Pelodiscus sinensis: one gene and its partners. The protein of the gene in region 1 purifies or fractionates together with the protein of each later gene. This does not show direct contact. Links are inferred from orthologs where the notes say so. Each region holds a gene or a part of one and is shown on either strand. Other genes may lie near its edges. The genes, in order: HDAC6, CCT5 and PKM.

The links.
Region 2: the proteins of HDAC6 (region 1) and CCT5 purify together in Homo sapiens (affinity purification with mass spectrometry, with the first as the bait; 3 studies listed by BioGRID). This does not show direct contact. The link is inferred for Pelodiscus sinensis from reciprocal best matches to the Homo sapiens genes HDAC6 and CCT5.
Region 3: the proteins of HDAC6 (region 1) and PKM purify together in Homo sapiens (affinity purification with mass spectrometry, with the first as the bait; 4 studies listed by BioGRID). This does not show direct contact. The link is inferred for Pelodiscus sinensis from reciprocal best matches to the Homo sapiens genes HDAC6 and PKM.

The regions. Positions count from the first base shown.
Region 1 is NW_027466031.1:232,781-236,522, reverse strand, and holds the start of HDAC6 (protein deacetylase HDAC6), read left to right. Parts: upstream 1-824; 5' UTR 825-978; intron 979-2,251; 5' UTR 2,252-2,356; coding exon 2,357-2,359; intron 2,360-2,481; coding exon 2,482-2,607; intron 2,608-2,731; coding exon 2,732-2,820; intron 2,821-3,373; coding exon 3,374-3,458; intron 3,459-3,573; coding exon 3,574-3,614; intron 3,615-3,735; coding exon 3,736-3,742.
Region 2 is NC_134712.1:136,033,738-136,037,479, reverse strand, and holds the start of CCT5 (T-complex protein 1 subunit epsilon), read left to right. Parts: upstream 1-1,196; 5' UTR 1,197-1,227; coding exon 1,228-1,332; intron 1,333-3,742. Other genes in the region: ATPSCKMT (ATP synthase subunit C lysine N-methyltransferase), read right to left, coding at 911-945. UniProt on the Homo sapiens protein: Component of the chaperonin-containing T-complex (TRiC), a molecular chaperone complex that assists the folding of actin, tubulin and other proteins upon ATP hydrolysis.
Region 3 is NC_134724.1:37,486,732-37,490,473, forward strand, and holds the start of PKM (pyruvate kinase PKM), read right to left. Parts: upstream 2,504-3,742; 5' UTR 2,350-2,503; intron 1,907-2,349; exon of another isoform or gene 1,858-1,906; intron 1-1,857. UniProt on the Homo sapiens protein: Catalyzes the final rate-limiting step of glycolysis by mediating the transfer of a phosphoryl group from phosphoenolpyruvate (PEP) to ADP, generating ATP.

The DNA of each region.
Region 1 (3,742 bases):
CAGGAGTCCCATCCATGTATCGGCCCATCTCTGGCTCTGCTCCCTGCTTCCCACGCCCCCCTGCGCAGCGATCAAAAGGGGAAGGGGGCGTTATCTGCCCCATCAGCTCATGGCCTGGTGGGGGTTAGCCCTTGCCTCCGCCGAGGAGCTGGGAACTGGATTTCAAAGGGATGTGGGGAAGGGGCGGGGCGGGCACTGGAGATGGGCCCAGTACTGGGAGCTACACAGGCTCGGCGCAGAGCTGGGGGCCCCTCCAGCCGGGACACACGCTGGTGCGGGGGTCGGGCTCGCTATCCCAGCCCCATGGCTACTTCAGGGCAGGCCCAGCGCCCACTGCTGGTGCCAAGCCCTCCCTGCCTCACCCCTCCCCCACTACGTTCTATGCGGCTGTTCCCCAGCTGCCCTGCCCCAGAGGTGGCTGCATCTCAGCACCTAGGGAGCCCTCCCTGCGGCTCCCTTCACTAGGGGAAGGCCGAGGGGGCCCAGCTCCCCTGGGGGGGGCAAGGGGCCAAGGCCCAAGGAGCCGAGAGGTTGGGGGGGGGAATCCAAGGAAAAATAGAGGCCGGGGTGAAGGGTCACGGGAACAAGCTGGGGAGGGGTCAAGAGAATTAAGGGTCACAGGGTCAAGGGAGTAAATCCCCCCCCCCCCGACCTAGGCCAGTGAAGAAACAGGGAGATTTTTCTTCCAGCAAGTCAATGGTCTCTCCCAGCTCCCCTCCCCCCCGCTCAGTGCCAATGGCCACTCCCAGGATCCCCACCCCCTCCATTCATCGTGATTGGTTTCGCCCAGATCTCCCCCAAGGTCAGGGTGAATGGTCATGACCAGCCCCCTCCTCCGTCAATGGTCTCTGCCATCTTCCCCCCCCCCGCCCTACTCCGAATGGAATCTCCCGGCGGGGCGGGGCGGGGCGGGACGGGGCTGGGTGACACCATCAGGCTGCGCGCGGCAGGGAGAGACCATCTGCAGGGGCGCGGCAGGTGAGAGCAGCCCGCTCGCGCACGTGGCTGGGCACCCGGGGCGGGCAGCTGGTGCCGCGGGCACGGGCCGGGGGGGGGGGCAGCGCTCTGGGACCTGCTCCCCCAAGCCCCGCCCACAGCCTGCTGCTCCGGCCCCGCCCGCTGCCCCCCCTGCCCCGCCCCCCAGCACCCTCGGCCCCGCCCCCCAGCACTGCCCCCCAGCACCCCCCACCCTGCCCCCATGCCCCGCCCCCCAGCACCCCCCACCCTGCCCCCTCGGCCCCGCCCCCCAGCACCGCCCACCCTGCCCCCATGCCCCGCCCCCCAGCACCTCCACCCTGCCCCCTCGGCCCCGCCCCCCAGCGCCCTTCACCCCCAGCACTGCCCCCCAGCGCCCCCACCCTGCCCCCTCGGCCCCGCCCCCCAGCGCCCTTCACCCCCAGCACTGCCCCCCAGCGCCCCCCACCCTGCCCCCATGCCCCGGCCCCCAGCGCCCTTCACCCCCCAGCACTGCCCCCCAGCACCCTCCGCCCCCCAGCACTGCCCCCCACCCTGCCCCCTCACCCCGCCCCCCAGTGCCCTTCACCCTCCAGCACTGCCCACCCCCCAGCACTGCCCCCCAGTGCCCCCCACCCTGCCCCCATGCCCCACCCCCCAGCACCTCCACCCTGCCCCCTCAGCCCCGCCCCCAGCGCCCTTCACCCCCCAGCACTGTCCCCCCAGCGCCCCCCACCCTGCCCCCTTTGCCCCGCCCCCCAGCGCCCTTCACCCCCCAGCACTGCCCCCCAGCACCCTCCACCCCCCAGCACTGCCCCCCAGCGCCCCCCACCCTGCCCCCTCACCCCGCCCCCCAGTGCCCTTCACCCTCCAGCACTGCCCACCCCCCCAGCACTGCCCCCCAGTGCCCCCCACCCTGCCCCCATGCCCCACCCCCCAGCACCTCCACCCTGCCCCCTCAGCCCCGCCCCCCGCGCCCTTCACCCCCCAGCACTGTCCCCCCAGCGCCCCCCACCCTGCCCCCTTTGCCCCGCCCCCCAGCGCCCTTCACCCCCCAGCACTGCCCCCAGCGCCCCCCTACCCTGCTGCCCTCAGCCCCGCCCCTTCCCCCATCTGTACACCCCCAGCTCTGTGCCCCTCACCCCCTGCCACCCCTTCGCCTCCCAGCCCTGCACCCCGTGCCCCCCCTAAAATTGCCTTCCCCAGTGCCCCTTGCTCCTGCCCCGCAGCCCCCGCCGGCCCAGGGTGGAGGCCGGGGGGGTCGGGGTTTGGCCCCTCTAACGGCCTTTGCCCCCAGCCCTGCCCCGCCATGGCGACACCCTGGGCGGAGAAGCTTTGGCAGAGGAAGGACCCAGCTCCCCCCTCCCGATCCTGAAGGGACCTGCCCCCCCAGCACACGGCCATGGTGAGTCTGGCCCTGGGGGGGGGCCCTTGGCTCTGGGCGCGAGGCTGCCTGGGCCTGCCAAGGGCTGGGGGGGGCTGGCGAGGTCCAAGCCCCCCCTTCTGCCCCGTGTGCTTCCCCCCCAGAAGCGAGGTGGCCGGAGGGGCCCCCAGCCACGCCGGAGCCCCGGGCTGCCCGAAACCAAGCGCCGCGGCCGAGCGCAGCGGGCGAGCAGAGAGACGGAGGAGCTGGAGTCGGGGCTGCGGCGCCTGGTAGGTGGGGGGGGGGGCCGTGGGGCTGGGCTTTCCGCTGGCGGCGCCTGCTCCCTGGCCGTGGGGGGAAGGGGAGCGGGTCTGGGGGGGCCGGCGCCTGGCTCCACTGTCGTGTCCCCCCCAGGACCTGGGCGTGGAGGGGACGGTGCCCGTGGGGACGGGCCTGGCCTTTGACGAGCGGCTCACAGAGTCTCACTGCCTGTGGGATGACAGGTACGGGGGGGGGGGGGGGGGAGCCACGACCCCCACCCCAGCGACCCCTCCCGCCAGTCACCACGGCCCCCGAGCCGCCTCCCCCCCAGCGACCGGCCCCCTAGCTTATCTGGGATCTGGGCCCGGGCCCCTCCCGTCCAGCGCCGGGATCCTCGCTCTGGGGGGCACATCGCCTGCCCCCCCGGCCCTGCCGGCGCCCCTCACTCCCTCCCTCCCTCCCCAGCCCCAGCCCCAGCGCCCCTCACTCCCTCCCTCCCTCCCTCCCCAGCCCCAGCGCCCCTCACTCCTGCCGCAGCCCCTGCCCCCTGGCGCCCCCTCCCTCCCTCCCTCCCCAGCCCCTGCCCCCCCCCCCAGCCCCTGCCCCCCGGCACCCACCCCTCACTCCCGCCCCCCAGCCCCTGCCCCCCGGCGCCCACCCCTCACTCCCGCCCCCCAGCCCCTGCCCCCCGGCGCCCCTCCCTCCCTCCCCAGCCCCTGCCCCCCGGCGCCCCTCCCTCCCTCCCCAGCCCCCCAGCCCCGGCCACTTTCTCCCGCTCTGTCGTTTCGCCCCCAGCTTCCCGGAGCGCCCGGAGCGGCTGGTGGCCGTGCAGGAGAAGCTGCTGCAGAGCGGCCTGTGGGAACGCTGCGTCCCAGTCGAGGTGAGAGGAGGGGCTGGGACCCCTGGGTCTGTCCCTTGCCCGGAGGTGTCCCAAGACCAGCTGCCCCTCCCCCCGCTCTGCTGCAGCCCCCCACTTCCCTCCTCTGTCCTCACAGGCCCGGCCGGCTACAGAGGAAGAGATTCTGCTGGTCCACAGGTACGGACGGCAGCCGGGGGGGCGGGCCAGCTGGGGCTGCGGGGCAGCAGGGGGGCAACGGCAGGGCTGGAGGGTACCAGCGAGGCAGGGGCGAGGGGCTCGCTCTCTCTCTGTGTCTCAGCCCAGGG
Region 2 (3,742 bases), on another chromosome or scaffold:
GGAAACTGAATTTCATATTTTCATGTAAAATGAATGTAATCATTATGGAAGGCGTTGGCCTGACAGTCCTGAGTTCTTCTACTTAGACTATTATAGCAAAAGCTTCAGAGGGGTAGCCAAGTTAGTCTAACAGAAAAAACAAACGAATAATCTGGTAGTAATTTAAAGACTAACAAAACATGTACATAAAAACAAATGATCTGGCAGCACTTTATAGAGACTAACGAAACATGCAGAAGGTATCATGAGGTTTCGTGGGCACTGTTATCTGAAGAAGTGGGTTGTGCCCACGAAAGCTCAAGATACCAGCTACATATTGTGTTAGTCTTTAAAGTGCTACCAGACTATTTGTTGTTTTTAAAGTTTTTACAATAGCAAAGACAGTGCAAGTGCAAGTGCAGGTGCAGGTTTCCCTCCCTTGTTCCACTTCCGTGCTTCCATCTTGACCAACATCTTCGAGAAGACGAGCACAGCAGCTCACACGCGAAATTCGCGCACACAAGTGGCCGCTCCCCCGCCCTGCAAGTGTGACATGCACCACGCGGGATCCAGCGCCGCTGGGTGGGGCCTGGTGCCAGAGGAGCCATGTGGGCGCGAGACAAGCGCGTGGCCGTTGCGCGAGCAGCGCCCGAGACTGTTAGGACGGCCAGTGTCTAAGCGCCGCACCCGGCTGCCCAGCGCTGCTGACAGTGGTCGGGGCAGGGGGGTGGACAAGGCGACCTGCCCCAGGCCAGCGCCGCCGCCTCACTCACCAGCGCGAGCCTTCAGTAGGCGGGAAATCCCCTTTCGTCCGGAACTCGGCCCGACGCAGGCGCAATGGAGTGGACGATACCACCCGAAACGCGGGGGGCGAGGGGCTGACTTGTGGCAGGCCGTACAGCACTGTAGGGTACCGCGCCCTACATCTCACCGGTAAGTCTCGTTCTGCTCTCGCTGCCGCGCCATGGACACTGCGAATAGGATGTGTGTCGGAGTTCCGTTTAGTGGTCTCTTCCAGTCTAACTTGCGCCCTTCTTTCCGTTAGACGCTTCCAGAAGGGGTCGGCGAGGGCGCCATATTGGTCCCAACTGAGAAATCCTTCCTGCGGTAGCCTACTGCGCGTGCGCGACGCCGACAGGCGGTCACCCGTTACGTTGCGTTACGTTGGGTGTGGGAGCAGCGAGGGGCTAGTGCTCTGTCGGTTGGTGCGAGAGCGGCGCTGAGTGCTTGGCCGCTTGTGGTGGGACCATGTCGGCGATGGGGACTCTCGCGTTCGATGAGTACGGGCGGCCCTTCCTGATCCTCAAGGACCAGGATCGCAAGAGCCGCCTCATGGGGCCGGAGGCCCTCAAGGTAACTGCGCATGCGCCACTGGGGCCCGCCGGCCCCATGTGCTTCCCCCCATCCCGGGCCCGAGCCGCGCCTCCCCCCCCGCCCGCCGGTCGCTAAGCCCCCCCCCCCCGTAAGTTTGGGGCCGCCGGCCCTTCGCGCGTTTCCCTCCCGTAGTCGGGCGGGGCCGGGTCAGGCGGGCGCGGAGCTCCCCCCCCCCACTCCCTGCGCCCCATCATGGCCGCCGCGCCGGGCCCAGCTCCCCGAGCGAAGCCTTTGGTGAAGCCGGGCCAGGCTCTTGCATCGGGAGACCTGCGACGTTCGCTCCTCTGCTGGGGCAGAGACACGCGAAGCCCTTTCGTGTCGGGCCTCCCTTCGTGTCCCTCCTACTGGCTTCCTCTTCCCAGTCTCTTCAAACATCAGCTACTTCAAAGCCACATCTGCTAGCTCGCCTGCTCCTTGAACTGTCCATACTCCCCGCCAGTCAGCCCCATGGAGTCGGATTACATTGCCCACTTATTACCTATTTTAAACAAGCGCCCTTTTACTTTTGGTCATGCTGCCCCATGTTAAACTCTATCAGTTACATGGTTAAACATTTAATCTAGGTACTAGGGATGTGGGGGTATGCTACAGTATCTCTGTGTTTTACATTGGGGGAGTCCCAGCCCTATATACTGTGGATCCCAGTTGCTGGCCCTGCCATTCTGGTGCACCCGGGGTCCTCACAGTGGGCAGAAGCTCGGACCCCAAGCATAGTTGAATCATTAACAGATGTCAATAAGCATGAAGCTTACCAGTTAACTGGTTATACTTTTACATCCCTAGTTATAGCATTGCACTTAATAACTTAGGGTACGTCTAGACTACATGCCTCTGTCGCCAGAGGCATGTAGATTAGGCTACCAGACATAGAAAAATGAAGCGGCGATTTAAATAATCGCCGCTTCATTTAAATTTACATGGCTGCCACGCTGAGCCGACAAACAGCTAATCAGCTGTTTGTCGGCTCAGCGTGATACTCTGGACGCGCGGGTGTCGACATCAAAGGCATTTGTCGACCACACAGGTATGCCTCCTGGGATGAGGTATACCTGGGTGGTCGACAAATGCCTTTGATGTCAACACCCGCGCGTCCAGACTATTGCGCTGAGCCGACAAACAGCTGATCAGCTGTTTGTCAGCTCAGCGCGGCAGCCATGTAAATTTAAATGAAGCGGCGATTATTTAAATCGCCGCTTCATTTTTCTATGTCTGGTAGCCTAATCTACATGCCTCTGGCGACAGAGGCATGTAGTCTAGACGTACCCTAAGTGTAGACCAGAGGTGAGCAAAAGTCTTTCAGTGGGCCGGATTTGGCCCGTCTTGGGCTCTGACCTGGCCTGTGAGGCAATTACAGGCTCTGCCCCCAACAGGCATATGAGGGGGTATCAGGGAGAAAGAGGGCAAGGAGGTCAGGGGCAGTAAAGGAAGGGAGAGGAACCAGGAAGGTTATGGGGTAGGGGTAAGGGAAGGTGCAGGTGCCAGGGGATTGTGGGGTGAAGTTGAAGGGCAAACATGTAGAGAGTAGAGACGGGCACCAGAGAAGAGAGGTAGGGCAGGTGTGTAGTGGAAGGTGTTAGGAGAGGGGATGGGGAGGAGTAGCTACAGATGATCAAAGTGAGGCTAGAGGAGGAGTGGGCACTGGGGGAGAAGAGATGGGTGGGTGCAGAGGAGGGGGTCAGGTTCCAGAAGGACTGAGGGGAGTGGGAAGGGTGGAGCCAGGACAGCAGAGGAGGGTTGAGGGGTGGAGAGAGAGCAAGCATCAGGGGAGCAGATGGGAGGAGGAGAGGGGACATGGCAGCAGAGGGAAAAGGGAGAGGATTATAAGATATTTATTAATAGTGGCCACGCATCTGAACAAGCGCACGTGACCTCAATACTGCTGCACAGGATGAAGTTTGCTCCGCTCATGGGAGGGAAATCTTAGAAGGAACACTTTTCCCAGCTTCTCCCCCCAAGTTAATACAATGCAAATTAAATTAATGCAATTGCAGGATAGTGGCATGGGGGAGTCCTTTGGGAGCCAACCCCATCCCTATTGGTAGGACGGTGGGAGGAGTTCTTAGAGGGGTCACACAACACCCTTTACTTCTGGTCATCTGTCCACCTTGACCCCAGGAGTACTACCTCCAGGGGTGGGACATCTTGTGGCAGGGGCATGGCTAGCATGTCCCTAATTTTGGTTTGGAAAATATGGTCCCCACATCCATGTGGCTCTCCTCTCCGGGAGGGGGAAAGGCTTGCACCGCCCTTGTTCCCCAGGCCAGTCTCTCAGCTCCTATTGTCTGGTTGTTTCTGGCTAGTAGGAGTTGAGGATTGGGCGGGGAGATTACAGGAAACTTCTCCCTCCAGAGCACACAGAGAAGCCCTGCACTGCTGCATCCTGAGGGTC
Region 3 (3,742 bases), on another chromosome or scaffold:
AACCTTAGCGAGGCGTGAGCTATTTTGGGGGAAGGAGAGAGGGGCCAGGTCTGTTCATAAAAGCTCTTTATTTCAAGGGGCAAGCTGCATTTCAATCTTCCTTGGTATATGGCTGTAGAGGAGATACAATTCTAGGATTCTTGAAGTTGAATAAAGTTCTAGTTCTGCTAGGTTTCAGCAACACAAATAAGATTGCTCCTACAAACTGCAGCACTATGTCAGGAATAAAGAGTCACAAAATGCTTGAGTGGCACTGCAGCCATAAGCAGGTTGTACAGAGATTTGATTCTTAGGTAATAAGACACAAGCAGTGTTTTCTGTTACTGTGCTCCATCCCCAAGGAGCTGGGATGCCAGAGCCATGACCATTTAAAAAGGCTGCTCTACTTTTATTAATCTGAGATGACAGCATTGAAGTTCCCACTGGTTAGTAACAAAAGCGCCATTCATGCAAGCCTGACTTTAAAATGAGGGGTTCAAACATGTTCCAAAGGTTTTTATAGTCTTTCGTGAAATACAGATGAATATCAAAATCAATTGGACATGTTTACACAGACATAACACAGGAGAGTTCAGATGGGGCCTTTGCTTGCCTGAGCAATGAAGAGCTGACTAAGTTAGTCACTAACAAGTTTATTGAACTATATACTCATCTAAGTCAGCATTTAGGACACTGATCTTCATAAGGGGAAGTGGTAGTGAACACTCCCTTTCCATTCAATTCAAGCCCTACTCCCAAATAGGATTGACCCACTGCACCTCTGGAAACACTAAACTGAAATACCTTGCAGCTCTGAATCCAATCTTCTTTTTGCAACTTCTATAGCATGGAGCTGCAGCCAGGAACAGTGATTAAGCAAATTACATTTAACCCTTTTTAGCAGCTCTATCTTGTTTCACTGCCCTATCTTCTCTTTCCTCCCCACCCCCACACACTTTAAAAGGCAAGAGTAATTAAGTAGTGAGTATTGCTAGCTAGCTACACTTTAGAAGTATGCACTTTCTTGCAGAGGAAGTGGCCCAAATGGTAGTGCAAGAAAACCCATGTATCTGAACCACACCAAGAATTGTTTTCCAGAGGTGCTAGATCCTAATCTTAAAGAAAGCAAAAAGTATGGAATAAGGCAATGTATTGCAGATATGTCTGCCTCAGGAGCATAGTACATTATAAAGTTCAGCATCCATCAATAGAGGGAGTTTTAAATTTACCAACAACGGAATCTTGTTTAATGAATACAATTAGGAGGGTGTATTTAATTCTCTTTTGGGATACTTGCATGTTCAGTTTACTTTTACACATCACCCACCCAAAAAACCCACAGAAGGAAAGCAGAGGGTTCAAATCCAGGGCCAACAATTCAGGAACTTCAAAAGAAGAGGATTGTGCCCATGAAAGCTCACGATACCATCTACATGTTTTGTTAGCCTTTCCAGTGCTACCAAACTATTCGTTATTTTTTAAAGTTAATTCAAGAACGGTTTTTTGACCAGAGGAACGACATCAGCTGTTGTACTGCAGTTACTGTAGCCGATGAGACCAACATCTCTGAAGCTGCGGTCTCTCAGCCAACCAGGAGGGCTGTTAAGAGCAGTGCTACCTGCACTCCTACCCCTCCACAGGGGTGAACAATCGCAACAGACACCTGTCTCCCTGCTGCAGCAACATGACTCATGACGTTTGCCCACATTTCCTATCAGTTAGGTTGGCCCATTAGACACACTGCAGCAGGGAGGTTGGATTTTTGCCATTTGTACAAGTGCACGGGTAACAGGTCCGGGGGAGTGGCGGAGGACCAGTTGTGTGTCACACTCAGCCACAGGGGACCAGCTGCGTTTCACAGGATACCACCGCGAGGCACTCGTGTGTCCGTGCACGGGAACGCGGGGCCAGGACTCCGTCACGGCAGGTTACCGGCTGGGGAGTGAGTCGGGTCGGTCCTGCTTTGGCCCGGGGGCTGGGCTCGATGCCCGAGGTCTGCCCCAGCCCGGGGGCTGCGAGAGCGGGTGGCCCGCTCAACAGGCTCCGCAGAGCGCGCGCCCCCCCCGCAGCCGCGCACAGCGGCACCCGCTCGGAGGCGCAGAGCGCTGCGGGCCGGCTCGCTGCGCAGCGCAACCCGCCCCCGCCGCCGGGGAGCGCGCAGCCCCCCCGCAGGGCTCCAGGCCGGGCGCGCGGCTCTTTGTCCCGCCTGGCGCGCGCCGGCCCCGGGAGCCGCTCCCCCCCCCCCGGCGCCTCACGTGCTGCCCGCAGGCCGCGGACGCTCAGCGCGCCCCGCGGAGGGGGGGGGAAGCGGGTTCCGCCCCCCCCTTCCAGCGACCCGGTTCCGCGGGCCCGGGCCGGCTCCCCCGTTACCTGCTGCGCCGCCTCACGTCCGTCCGCCCCGAGAGTCTCAGCTTCTCTGCGGCCCGCCCCGCCCGCGACGCGCCTCAAGGTGATCCCGACCGCCCCGCGGATCCCTCCGCCGCCGCCCGCCCCCGGCTCGCGCGGGGAGGCGGAGCCAACGGACTCTTTCGCTGGCGGAGGCACATGCTGCGGCGGGGAGCGGCGAGCTGACAAGCACGCGGGGCGCCGGCCAATGGGGAGGCGCCAAGGGGCTGGGCACGCAGCCTGCGAGTGACAGGGGCAGCGGCGGCCGCAGTTAAAGGGACCGCACCTATTACTGTTACCCCCCATCCCCAGCTCTTAAAGGGGCCGCCTCCCCGATACCCCGTGCGGCAGCAGTATCTCTTGGATGGGCCCCAGCCTCATGCGTTCCCTTCCCCTGCAGCAGCAGCGTCTCCTGGCATGGGGTGGTCCAGCTAAGAGAGCTCCAGGGTGTAGGGCATCCCCAGAGCCCCCCCATCCTGGCCTCACACTGACCCTCTGAGCATAGACCGGGAACGTTGCCCCTGCTGCAGTGCATCTTAATGGGACTGCGCCCCTTGCCCATCCCCCATGGGCCTGCTCAGAGGCCTGGCTGCCCTGCATCCCAGCTGGCAGCCTCTCCTGCCCCGCCCCCTCTCTTTCAAGGCCCTGCAAACCATTTACAAAGCTCTAGTCCCCATTGTTGCTGCTTGTGAATTTTTCCCTTCCCCCTTTTTAAGGAGGGCTCCGGGCTCCTAGAGGGCTCATTGTTAGTGCCAAATGACCATTGAGATCCCAGCTGGAAAGCTGCCCGCTAAAGAATGGATCCAGACATCCCATGACAAAGGGAGAAGAAAGCAAGCTTGATACCCAGTCCAGGCCCCAATGCACAGCCGCATTTTCTCCTCCGAGGCAGGTACAGCAAAGCCCCAAAGCGGAGGCAAGAGCTGCTCTTGAGAATCCTCCAACGGCTAAAGAGGGGAGATTGGGCCCCATGTTGCTGAGTGGCCCCCAATTTCCTTGTCCTAAGTGTGTAGGGTCCTGCAAGGGGTGAAGCTACCCCGATAATGGCTGGTATCAGCAAAAGTGTGTCTCTGACCAGCAGACTGAGAGGATGAGTTTGCAGGGATAGAGCATCCAGTAGAAGCTTCTGACTCATCTGTTCTGGTTTTAAGGTCACATTGTCTTTTCCCAGAGCTGGAAGTAATTCAGATACCTCACTGAGTAATGTAGCACACCCACTTGCTACAGCAGACAACGGTATTCATCATATCACTGCATGTTCATGGGGCTGGATCTCTGAATGTCACAGGAAGACATGCTGGAGAGCAAGAAAAGATTTCTCCCCCCCCCCCCCCCAAACTAATAAAAACCCATATGCCTAGTTAAAAGCTGACATGAG